Nothobranchius furzeri: one gene and its partner. The protein of the gene in region 1 interacts with the protein of each later gene in a biochemical or structural test. Links are inferred from orthologs where the notes say so. Each region holds a gene or a part of one and is shown in the gene's direction. Other genes may lie near its edges.

What was found.
Region 2: the proteins of rbbp8 (region 1) and klhl15 form a complex in vitro, tested with the Homo sapiens proteins (2 studies listed by BioGRID, with this or other methods). The link is inferred for Nothobranchius furzeri from reciprocal best matches to the Homo sapiens genes RBBP8 and KLHL15.

The regions. Positions count from the first base shown.
Region 1 is NC_091747.1:41,225,694-41,232,196, reverse strand, and holds the start of rbbp8 (DNA endonuclease RBBP8), read left to right. Parts: upstream 1-2,286; 5' UTR 2,287-2,377; exon of another isoform or gene 2,378-2,435; intron 2,436-2,632; 5' UTR 2,633-2,652; coding exon 2,653-2,752; intron 2,753-2,838; coding exon 2,839-2,881; intron 2,882-2,965; coding exon 2,966-3,061; intron 3,062-3,787; coding exon 3,788-3,879; intron 3,880-4,046; coding exon 4,047-4,119; intron 4,120-4,993; coding exon 4,994-5,175; intron 5,176-5,283; coding exon 5,284-5,379; intron 5,380-5,560; coding exon 5,561-5,631; intron 5,632-5,715; coding exon 5,716-5,783; intron 5,784-5,866; coding exon 5,867-6,116; intron 6,117-6,189; coding exon 6,190-6,349; intron 6,350-6,436; coding exon 6,437-6,503. Other genes in the region: fam168b (myelin-associated neurite-outgrowth inhibitor), read left to right, coding at 1-38, 251-449, 534-646. UniProt on the Homo sapiens protein: Endonuclease that cooperates with the MRE11-RAD50-NBN (MRN) complex in DNA-end resection, the first step of double-strand break (DSB) repair through the homologous recombination (HR) pathway.
Region 2 is NC_091747.1:63,364,857-63,371,206, reverse strand, and holds the start of klhl15 (kelch-like protein 15), read left to right. Parts: upstream 1-2,569; 5' UTR 2,570-2,797; coding exon 2,798-2,858; intron 2,859-4,022; coding exon 4,023-4,110; intron 4,111-6,350. Other genes in the region: eif2s3 (eukaryotic translation initiation factor 2 subunit 3), read right to left, coding at 127-248, 464-591, 681-744, 1,665-1,733. UniProt on the Homo sapiens protein: Substrate-specific adapter for CUL3 E3 ubiquitin-protein ligase complex.

The DNA.
Region 1 (6,503 bases):
TCAGGAGCACCTACCCCCAACAGAGCCCTTATGCACAGGTCAGTGAGTTCGTGCGGACTTTGGTATTCATGTGAAAAGTAGACTAGAATATTTTTGCCTCTGTCTGTTTGTGTGTGTTTGCAAAACATCTCCTGAACCACTGATCTCAATGTAACAAAAAAAAATCATCTATCACCTATGATGCCTTTATTTTTCAACATGTGTCGTTAGCGATTTTAGCTAAACGAGTCACCATGTTTGTCTGATTCAGGCGTTAATACCTTCCCAACAACAAGGCACCTATTACACGCAGCCGCTGTACGCTGCACCACCTCATGTCATCCACCACACGACGGTGGTCCAGCCCAATGGAATGCCTGCAGCCATGTACGCCCCGTCCATCGCTCCTGGCCGCGCCAACGGCGTCGCCATGGGGATGGTCGCCGGCACAACCATGGCTATGTCCGCTGGTGAGCTGCAGCGACTTTTTACTTCTGCATATTCAGAACTAATAAGTTAGAATTTAACTCGAAACTATCAAATCTGCCTCACAGGAACTTTGTTGACAAGTCCCTCACCGGCACCTGTGGCCCCGCATCAAGTCACGATGCCCACATATCGGGCCCCCGGCACCCCCAGCTACAGCTACGTGCCCCCACAGTGGTGAAGACACTAAGTGTGAGTGTGGATCATTTAGATTTTTAACATTTAGATGGAATCCTTCCATTGATCCCCTTTTGTCCCTGCAGGTCTGAAGGTAGATATGCATTTACACTCTGCTCCAGTGTTCTTGGTGACGACCTGCCCAGGCAGCGTATGCTACCAGTTTAGTCTTCTTCCAGCATAATGTGAATCTAAAACTCAACTACATAGAATGTGGCCCATTTGGACAGGGAGAGGGTGAAGAATCAGCCCATCCCCATAACCTCCTTTAACGACGTACGGCTGCATTCGGCGCCATCTTCACCCCTCCTCTTCCTCCTCCTCCTCCCTGCCAGCATCAGCACCTCTACAGCCTGCTGCGTATCTCACATCCCAGCTGCAAAGCCTCCAGGCACACCTTCTGTGGACTGTCATGCAGGTTTTATAGCTTAAACTCTGAAATGTAAAGGGAGTTTTGTTTTAGTTTTATAGTTTTGAAATGTCATTTGTTATGTTATTCTGGGGAAATATGTAAATGATGATGACTGCATGTGTGTTTATGTAAACACACACACTCGCACTAACGCTAGCTTGATCTACCTGCTGTGACAGATGCAAAGTCAACAAAAGGCGCACGTCCAAAGGAACAAAAGAGTAATAATCTATAATGCTGAATCATCAGTGACCATGACATCAATGTGAAAGAAGAAAAGTTTGTTCATGCAAAAATAAACCTGCATGTCGAAGAGCAGGTCAAACTCAACTTTTCCCTTGCTTTGCATTTAGATAACTGTTATTGTTTTTTAAGTGATGCAGTGTTTGCATTGTGTCTTACCTTTTTTATATTTCAGGAAAAAGACGGAGCTTTATGCTCGCGTCTCCGACCAACAACCATTCTGCGTTTTAGTTTAAATCAGTCTGTTTAATTTCTGGTCGCATTATTAAGAGTGTTTTTGTTTTTTAGTTGTTTCTCCTGATAGTCCGAAGCAGCTTCAGTTTGGTTGAGATAAATGTTGGAACCATTGTTTTATTTTTGGCCAGAAGTGTTATGGTAACAAGCAGAAAACGATATTTAAATTTGTTTGCACCTGCTTTAATGAGAATGAATGAGCAACAACAGTGTTGTTTATGTATTAGGAAATGTCTTAAGATAGAAACCATCAAAATGGTGCCATACAGTGCTACATGCTTAGCGTCTTAGACCGTGATGTCACTAGTCAGTTTGTATTTGTGTATCTGATACACTACATCATTAAATCACTGCTAAATGTTGATATATTAGGAACTGGAATGATTAAACTCAATTGTGAATAGCACTACTTAATGAAGGCACTAAGTCAATACAATTAAAGTCTCTTAACCTTTGACATCGCTCGCTGTCTTACCTCAAAGCTAACCCACCAATATCACTGTTTCAGACATGCTTCTCTATGTTGCCTCAGTCACCTCAATTAAATAATCTGTTTTGTAAATGTTATTTTGTGATTTTGGGTTATGTTTTGTACTCTAAAAAATAAAAGCAGAAATAAGAATAAAAAAACCACCTGTTTTATGTTACAGCAAATTGCATAAGTACCTCCCATCGACATTAATATTGTGGGGGCTTGGTACCTCCACGTTTAATGGGTACATTTACTCGGCTTGAACAGCAGGGGGCGACAGAGTCGCACATACACGAGAATGACGTCAAAAGAAGAAGGATTCCCATCATGCATTTCGGCGCGCAAATTTTGATCTTCGACAACAGCATTACTATGTAGGTTTTCAAATGTATCAGTTTGTCTGCTTTTAAGACTTTCTTTGAAGCATTTAGTGTACGTATTTGTGTTCTTTGTGCGTTACGTATGTTTACGTAACATTGTTTAGTTTTAGCGACAACGTAACAGCTGTGTGATGCCACAGGACGTTGTTTGTGTTTTAGTGTGAATAACTAGTTATATGTTGTGTGTTGTAGCTTATCAGCTGTTGAATGTTGTAAATTCCACCTCTAATGAAGATATTTCCGGTCTAGCCTGTTATCATCTATGGAGGATGAGCAGTCCGGGAGACAGCAGTGGGACAGTCAGACATGCTGATCTGTTTGAAGTTCTATGGAAACAGCTTGGAGAGTGTCATCAAAGCACAGTTCAAGGTAACTGAACTAATCTAATCGTGTTGATGCGTGTTTTAGTGGTTTTCGCACATGCCAACACTATTTGTGATTGTGACTGTTTGTAGAACTGGAGGCAAAAGTAAGCAAGTTAAAAAAGGACCGCTGCTTGTGAGTATCAGCTTTTGTTCACTAGTAGGGCACGCTTTCCCTCACTTTATTGTTTTGTTTCATTAAGTTGTTTTAATTATACAGAGATGCACAGAAGCTGGAGGTGTTCTATAATCGCAACCAACAGCTTAAGGAGCAAAATAAAACTCTGCAGGACACGATCGGTCTTCTGGAGGAAAGGTAAATGACTCAAACACACACTTGGGTCATCATCATCATGTTGACAACATTAATTGTACTTGGGACTGGTATGGATTTGTCTCAAGTGAATCATTTACAAACCAAGCAAACTAGAAAAATAAGAATTTTCCAGAAATGTGTGGCAGAGGTATTGTAGAGATTACCAGCTTCAATCTGGCCTCTCTCCAGGATCTGTGGGTCTCCAGGGACTTGAGGCACACTAGAGATTCACCTTGACTCCTCATACCCTGAAAATAACCTTTTCATGTGCTGCCCTGTAATCACAGACAACAGTCCACCAGAACCATTACCTCATGGCACAAGATCAGTTTCTTCCCATCAGCTATTGGACTATGGGCTGCATGGCGGCGCAGTGGTTAGCACTGTTGCCTCGCAGCACGAAGGTCGCAGGTTCGAAACTCGGCTGCGGCCTTTCTGCGTGGAGTTGCGTGTTCTCCCCATGCATGCGTGGGTTTCCTCCGCGTACTCCAGTTTCCCCCACAGATCACAACATGCCCTGTAGGTTATAAATTGTAAGTCGCTTTGGATAAAAGCGTCTGCTAAATAAATAAACATAAACATATTTGAACATTCCCTAGAAAATCCCAGAACCTGCTGATTTGTAATCTTCTGTTATAGCGTCCAGTTATAATCATGCATCTTTGTGTACTTTATTATAAGTAACTGTGTGTGTATCATTAGTGTTTTGGCGTTTACTGTCCCCAGACTCCGAGCAGCAGAGCGTGATCAGTGTGCTGTTTTTGAGGAGAAGCTGAAATCCAACCAGGAGCAGAACCTTCATATTGTCACAAAACTAAGTGAGTTTGTTCCGGTGATTAATCTGAGCTCTAGATTATTTGGTGTTAAAGAGTAAAGAGTTGTTTTTATGTGAGTGTTTCACACAGACCAGGGCAGCACAAGCTAAGATGTTTTTGGGCACAATCATGCTTTGTGAGAATTGTGTTTACGGTTTGTCTTCCTTCAGAAAATGAGAGAAACAGACTGGAGGAAGAAAACAGAAAGCTGTTGAATGAACTGCAACAGTTAAAATCAGCTCAGTAAGTTCTTCTTAAAAGTCTGATTAGATTTTTGGGTTGTTGTTGTTTCAAAATTATTACAAATGTTAACATTTTAGTTTCTTTTTTTTTTTTTTGCAGCCAGTGTTGCGTAAAACTTTTCAGATAGACACTGTTTCTCCTGGAGAGGTTTCACTTCTGGTTTACAAAAATGAACTCTTCTAAATTTGAAAGCTGACTATAATAAGTGCCGTGTTCCACTGAGGAGCTTTGCCTCAGAGACTTGTTCTGCATCAGCAGTGACGTTTCAGTTCCTGGTTTAGCTCTGTAGAGGGTGTGGAGAGCAAACAAGTATATAAATAATTCAGTTTGTATTTTAGTTAACTCCAATTACAAAAATAATGTAATAAAAACATAACACTATTAAAATTGTTTTGTCACATTTTACTCAAAGGTCTTAAAAGGTTAGAGCAACATAAGATGGCAGAATGAGGGCAAAACACACCTGCAGCACATGAGTCTTCATAAGCCTCGCGTATGCCTCTCTGGTGAGAGGTTATGTTTTTCTACACGGTTCTATTCCAGGCTCGGCTGTTCCATTTTATATTCACATACTCCTTGTTTGGGCCTCCAGGCTTGTTTATACTAGTGCTGCCTGTTTTTTTATGTGGCTGATTGTTCAGGTAGATTAAGTTTAATTAGCTGGTGTGTCCGTGGGTTTTATTCTAGAGCAGACGTAAGGCTGTGGTGATGAGCATTAAAGCAGTTCAGAGGAAATGTTTTTTGTCTCATAATTTATCCCTTCATCAGTTTGAATGACCAGTAAGCTGCTGCACTTTAGTGTTTCCCAACTCAGTCGGTAACGATTTCAGATTCCACCAAAATAATTGTGATGATGATTATTTTCCTAATCAAGCAGCCCTACTTCAGAGGTAGGAAGCCCGGAGCAGGAGGAAGGATTCATCCCAGACTCACCAGTCCTGCCAAGCTCACTTCCTGTCCCAAACAAGCTGAAGAAACGGAAACATGGTGATAAAGTGAAACACTTCCGATATGCAGAGATGTCTCCGCGGCAGCGCGACAACTTGCTCTTCTACGGTCAGTTATTTAAAAACACCTTTTATCACCTGCTGCTTATTTTAAACCTCACCTCACCTTCCTCTGTGTATTTCCGCTGTTGTGAACGGTTTGGTTTTTATTTTTAAGAGCAAAACAAAAAAGCTGCTAGAGATGGAAGGAATCCCAGGAAAACAGAAGTGCTGGTGCCCAACACTTGTGAACTGGATGCACCCCAGACATCCAGTAAGATGTCTTTTCTAATACAAGTTAATCAAAACAAGAATAATCTTTTTTTTTTTTTTACATTTAATATAACTTTATTTATATTCCTTTAGATCAGAAACAATCTATTTATGTCCACTTCTCCTGGTTTAGTTCTATTATCAGACAGAAGTTGACCTGTCTGGTGTCTGTCTCTTTCCAGATGATGTGAATGAAGGTGTGCTGGAAGCTATCCCAGATACCTGTGGCTTTGAACTTGCTAACAATCTCATTGTAAGTAAAATAGTTTAGGAACCAATCACTGATACATAATCGTACAATAATGACATTTTTATGTTTAAAACATTTTGCTCCCAGGTAAAGGAGACGGCTCCAGATCATCAACGTGCCTCTAGAAGTTCCTGGAAGCACAATGCTCATTTAAAGTAAGACCAACTGCAGCCGGCCTGCATTTATCTGACTATGCGCTAAAAAACTCCTCCCTGCTGGTTTGTTTCTCCTGTTTAAGGCCCTACGAGCGCTCCTCTGTGTCCACACTGACCCACAGTCCAGACTCCACCACGGAGAGGTCCCTGTCTGTCCTCCCTCCTGTCAAACGCTTTTTAGAAGAAGGCTCGGTCTGCAGCTCAAAACACAAAAAGGACGAAAGTGTTTCACAGAGACTCTGCGAAGCAGGAATCCAGGGAGGGGGCAAACATGAGCATCCCAGAGACGTCAACCAAACAGCGACTTCTGTTTGTGAGCCACCAGTTAATAAGGCATGACCAAACAGGGAGCTCATCTGTTAAGCCATGATTTAAAGCAGGTTTTTATAAGTGTTTTATTTTCCAGGGCCAGTCAGCAGAACACATTGGGACCAGTCAGAAAGCTAGAGCTCCTGGTTTCAGTTCTGATTTCAAGAAGCCGCCGAGTAAATCTAAGTCAGAAACCGATGGGAAGAAAAAAACGCCTCTGCAGGATCAGGATGCTTCACACAAACAACCAAAAGATGGTGAAATCCTATCATTTACGGTCCTTATCTCATCCTGTTGGATTTCAAACTCTTCACTCCTTAAACTCGACTTGTCTGGGTTCTCAGTCGACGAGCAGCTCACAGTGGAGCCGGCGTGGAGCATCGATCCTGCACTGGCTCTGTCCGTGTACAA
Region 2 (6,350 bases), about 22 Mb from region 1:
AATCGGATCGTCGTTCTACATTTATGTTGACAGAGGTGTTTTTGTTCTGCTTGTTCCTCCCGACCGACTCGGATCTCTGGGAGCGCAGGTTAGGAACCACTGAGTGAGAGACAGCGCCACGCTTACCGGACCAGTTTAAAGTTCCCTTTGGTTCCGGAGAGGTCCGTGGAGAACTCGTCAGGAGTGCTGCTGCCACACGACCTGTAGCACTCGGGCCGGGGGCAGCTGGGGTCGTCCAGCTTGTAGATCTGCAGCCACAGGAAACAATCAGAATGACAAGGTTCCAACAGAACCGTCTACAGGAAGATGAATCATCAGCTCTCAGGATTTCAAAATAAAGCAGATTTAACTCTCCTTTATTCAATAATGCCGTTAATGAGGAAATAAAGACCCAGAACGCCCCCTGAGAGCTTTTCCCAGAGGATTCTCCCGGATCCATCCTCGCTGCACAGGAACCGCTCACCTTAGCGTTAGCATATCCTAGCTTGATGGTGATGTTCCTCTCCAGCTCGTTCTTGAACCTGACGGTATGAACGCCAGAAATAGCCTTCACTACTGTGGACTTCCCATGGGCCACATGACCGATGGTGCCTGAGAGTCAGAACAGAGTCAGAACCGAGTCAGAACCGCTTTAAACCCGCAGAGAAACAAAAACAACAGAAGGCACACCGGCCTCGTACCGATGTTGATGGTGGCCTGTCTGCTGATGATCTCTGGAGAGAGAGGCGTCAGGGTGGACACGTCCTGCCGAAAGAAAACACCCAGATCTGACAAAACGTACAAAATAACACAGATTAACTGAGCCAAGCGGCGTCTCTGGGGTTAATCCTGCAGATTATCAGGAACAAAGACGAGCCTAACCCTAACCCATCACAGCAGCCTGGGACAAGGTCCGTAATCAGAGAAAATGAGCTCCAGGTCTGACCAGGACCACGCGTTAGACCATCAGAAAGGACGAGCAGCTTCCTGCTTCCTCAGCAGAATAAAACCTCCAAAGAAAAAACTAATAATTAATTAAGGATGTTAGAGATTATTCCTGAAAGACTGATGGATGAAACTAGAGTTTGGAACAAGATGCAGCAGAAATAACAGGAATGTGTTATCATGAGTTTATTGCAGTCACATCTGGAAATGCATGGTGGATTCCTGTAACATCTAAAGGTTTAAACAGTTTTAGATTAATAACGTTTTTATTTGTCTTCTTCTGGACCGGAACAGGAAGTCGTTACCTAACTTCTACCTTATAGATATGATCTTTAATCCCATCCCCACCATAATAACCCTGTTATTAAAGGTTTATGACACCGCCTTCATCACTGAAGTGTCACAATAACATCACCCAGAAATACGTCACCAAAATTACTTCCTGACAGTTAATATTGAAGCTAATTTTTGAGCTTAACAGTCGCAAACACAAAATAGCGACAATTTAGAAACACGTGAACGCCTAAATCGCTTTAAAGAACCTGGAGGCTCCGCTCGTGCTTTAGGAACTCTCCACCCCGCCGGGCCTGCCGTCATGTGCCGGGTGAAGGCAGCGCAGCCCCGGCCACCGCTCACCGCACAATTTCCCCCCGTTAACGGATTGCTTTCGGTTAAACGACGGGCTGCCAGCCTGAAACGTGAACTCAGGGGTGTGTAGAAACCGCTGAAACGAGACTCACCAGAGAGCTGAGGTCTTGTTTGGCCAGATGAGGCTGACCCAGCGTTGTTCCAGACTCATCACCCGCCATCTTCGCTGGAAAGGGAATGAAAGAGGCAGCCCCGCCGAATGCCTGATCAATTTACCAAACCGTTTCTTTGAAAAAACAAAAAACGTTTTACTCTGATCAAAATCAAACAAAAACTGTAACTTTAACAAAAAACGTGTAAATTATGTCCACTTTCATTTATATACATATATATTTAAAAATATCTCGTATGATTTCTCTGACTGAAAGAAAAACGGGTCCTTTCTCAAATGCTGATGCAATTTATCACGTTCGTAAAAGAACAATTTATTATATCATTACTCGTTATAACCAATAAATAAATAGTTTAGATTTTTTTGCTACTGAACACAAAACTTGGTTTAATTAACGTCAATTTAAAAATAAGCCTAGATAAATAATTAGTGCCAGGCCGTCGTTAAAATATGACATCATCAAATACTGTTTGTAGTCTTCTTAACAAGTTTGTAGTTTTTGAAAACCTATGTAAAAATATTTATGTGGACATCTAAATCTAAATGTGACATTTTTAATTAGCTGTCTACACCTGCAGTCTGAATGGGCATATATTGATTCTAAATAATTTTATTTACATTTGTGTATAAACTTAACTCCAGGTCTCTGATGAACCTACATGTGGTGAAACATACATATCATATATTAATATATGATATCTATGTGGTGAAATACCTCTTGTATCAATTAGCTTATTTTAAATGTGTAATAAAATGCGATCCGTTATATTGATATATTTATATCATCTAAAAAGTAAGACGTGCACAACAAAACAAACAACTCAGTACAGTTGTATTGTTTGCTGTTGTTTTTTAGACTGCAGTGATCCATCTTGTCTCATGTACACTCTTTGACTGTCCGCTCTCCCGCCGCCCTTCAGTTCCGTCATGAAGGGAAATTACGTCGGTGCAGAAGATGGTGTCTGTAAATCCTGTGGACCGCTGCGGCTCGGCACCCGTCTAATTTGGAGCCGTGTGGGGGGTATCTCCGTCTGGCTGATGGATTACAGAGAAAGTATGGCCATGCGGCGCTGCCGTCCGCTCTCTTGACCGCGGAATCGAACCCGTAACTTCATGTCTGACGGAGCCAGAGCTGCCTGGACGAAGAGGGGTTGTGGGGATTCGCACCGCCGAGGTGAGACGGTTGGATTTAGCCGCTAAGCTAAAGCTGTTCCCCGGTCACCGCAGCCTGCTTGCAGCTAATTTAACCACAGAGACGTAATTAACACGTTTAACGTCAACGCTTCCACCCCAGAGGCAGAATAAAGCCTCCGGCTTTAGCCGGATGTGAGAGCAGAGTCAGAGCCGCTGAGTGGAGCCTTTGTTTGGAGCTCGAGTTAAAAACCTCCTCCCCTGTGGTGGAGGTACACCAAAGAGGATAAACACACCTGCTCAGGTGTGTTAGCCTTCAGCTCCAGTCTCAGACACACATCCGAGCCTGCTGCTGGTCTGGGGACAGCCGTGATGAATCTGGCTCTCAGGCTCTAACTACAGCAGTTCCTGACACGTTTAACTCACCTGTCCGTCTCCTCGCACCTCAGACAGGCTTTCACCTGGAGACCAGTATTATTCCGCACATTATTTATCATCAGAGGAATAAATTGAAGTTAACCCAAAACTATAAATCATGGAGAAGTTTTCTGCTCAGACGCTTTGGAGGAACTAAGAGCAGCAGCGTGTTTACATAAATATTGTTATTATCATATTTTCAGATGGTTCAGATGCGCAGACCTGGAAACACGTGACCACAACAGTCCACCTGACACAAAAAATCTAATTTTCTTCCTTTCTTAAATTGGGTCCTTGAACGCACCACTGCTACATGCTAATTAATCTGAGCTCACTTTGTGAACGGTCCATGGTCCTCCCTTCTTGAATTATCTATCAGGTTTTCAGTTTTTAACAATATTTCATTTTTGCAGATTTTTGTTTCACACAAATCTTAATAAATCAGTCTTATCAGGTCAGAGCTGCGCAGAAAAACCCTAAACTGGTATCGGTTCTGCAAGCTGCATCAGTGCTGCTCTTATAGAGAACAGTCAGGCATTTAAAACTCATTATTGTGACTTGGTTATGAGTTTAAAGTCAGAAGAACTGAAACATTTATAATCACGACTGAAACGAGTTCCCAGACCCAACAAACGTTAAAAATCACTTTAATTTCTCAAACTGCTTTTAAATGTTCATGCTTAATGAGATCCTGTTGTTTGACAGTTTTAAATACCTGCAGGGTTTGTTGTTGTTTCTGTGTGGATCAGCTGATCTGACCCTGATGCTGCTGTTCTGTGTGTTCTGTTAGAACCGGGGAAACATAAACACAGGAAATGCGAGCGGCCCCTTAGCGCTCAGACGTCACAGCCTGTGATCGCTGGCCCGGGCTCCAAAAGGTACGACGCTGCTCTCCGTCTCAATTCCACACAAATAATCTCCTTCCTGGTGGCTTTAGTCTGGGGTTTCAGCCTTTTTTATTCAACCTTAAAGAGCAAGTCACCCCCAAATCTACTGTTTTTTGCCGATAAACTAAATAAACGAGTGTCTAATCGTGCTGCAGACACGTGTCGTCAATAGTTTGGCACTTCAGTGCATCTTAGTTAAAATTTAAATATTCTGCCTAAAACTGGCAGTGTTGTGCCGTTGTCAGGTAAAAACTCTGCCCTGTATTTGAATTTAAATCTGCCACTGCTATTGGCTAAGAGGTATGCTATGATGTAAACTAGTACATTATGATGTCACAATGCTGTCGTGAGTCTGTGTGTGTGTGTTTGTTAGCGGCTCCGCCCTCTCGGTCTGCCAGGCAACAGCATGTGTTGCATTTTTCAAACAGGAAGTGGGAGTGGAGTTAGGCTCTGGTAGGGGGTGACTTGCTCTTTAAGAACTGTTTTTGTGTTTTCTAAACATAAAAGTAAATCTGGATGCTTTACAGCAAAATCCTGGCTTAATCTGCGGGGTTCACAAATGACCGACCTACAATAAAACCCCCTCAGACCCAAATATTTACTGATTTAGACACAAAAACATTAATATAGTAATTTTCATAATTAACGTTTTTAATAAATATTTTACAGAAAACGTTGAAATTTGAGGAAAAGTTGAAGCTCCTTAATCAGATTTATTTATTTATTATTTTTTACAGTTTGTAGGTTTCATGACCCGCAGCGCAGGCCCGACCCAAACAAGGAGAACTGTTGTGTTAAACGATCAATGTTTATTGTGTTTTTAATTATTAACGGAGATAAATGTGCAGCAAAGACGGAACAAACTTACTGGCATTCACCTGCTTCTTCATCAACATCCCAGAGTTCAAACTTCCTGGTTCTGTTGGTACCGCTGGTTCTGATCTGGATCATGTTCAGTTAAAACTTCAGACCGTCACCATCCGTGATTTTGTTTTTATTCTAACAGAAGCTGTATTAGCAGTCAATGGTGAGTCGGGCCACCTTTAGCAGAACTCGTGTTTCCTCATCGACATAAATACGGTTCCCACCAACCCTTTAAACTTTATTGGAACTGGTTCTTAAACAAAAACATTTTCAGAATTTTATTCTAAGGAGACGTAATTACTTTTATTCTCTGAGCTTAAAGAGCAAGTCACCCCCTACCAGATTCTTACTCCACTCCCACTTCCTGTTTGAAAAATGCAACAAAGGCTGTAGCATAGCATAGCGAGAGGGCGGAGCCGCTAACAAATACACACACAACATTGTGACATCATAATGTACCATCTAACATCATAGAGTACCTCTTAGCCAATAGCGATGGCAGATTTAAATTCAATGCAGTGCAGAGTTTTTACCTGATGACGGTGCAACGCTGACCGTTTTAGGCAGAATATTTAAACTTGAGCTAAGATGCACTAAAGTGTCGACTGCACATGTCTACAGCACGACCAGACACTCGTTTATTTAGTTTATGAGCAAAAAAAGTTGATTTGGAGTGACTTGCTCTTTAAAGGGACGGTTCCGATTTTTCTGTTGAAAAAAACAAACAAACAACCAATATCTCACGTCTGGGAGCAGCATCAGTTTGGAGAAACAGATTATTTGTGGCTGGATTGATGAGCTAACGGCTAGTTAGGCAAGGCAGAGAACCAGGTGTTTCTGCTGCATTTAAACAAGTTTAATCTAAACAGCTTTACAGCGTTGGCCACTGTTAGCATCTTTGCTTTAAGAGCAGCTAGCTGTAGCACTTCCTGTGTGTGTGTGTGTGTGTGTGTGGGGGGGGGGGTAGTTGCCGTATTACTGATATGTTTGAGCCTTAAGACAACAGCGCTGAGCACCTGCTGGGACTAGCAGTTAGCTTATCAATCTAGTCAAAAAGAATCTGTATTTCTCCAACCTGAAGCTGTTCAGCCTGTTTTCCTCTTAGTTAATTTTTTATTTTCTGTAGATTTAATCCCTGAAAAAAAAACTTTGTGTTTTAATTTGGTGATAAAATCAGAATCTGGAGGAATTGCTTCCCGATGACGTCGTGTGCTATCCTATAATCGATCCCTCGTTGTACCTCTGGTTTCCATGGTGACATCAGGACGCCGCTGCTTCTTTCTGACCTGTTGTATGAAGTCGCGGCCGAGCACCTGCTCACCTGTGGCACACGTGTGTGCAGGTGCTCGGCCGTGTAGTCTGGTGAG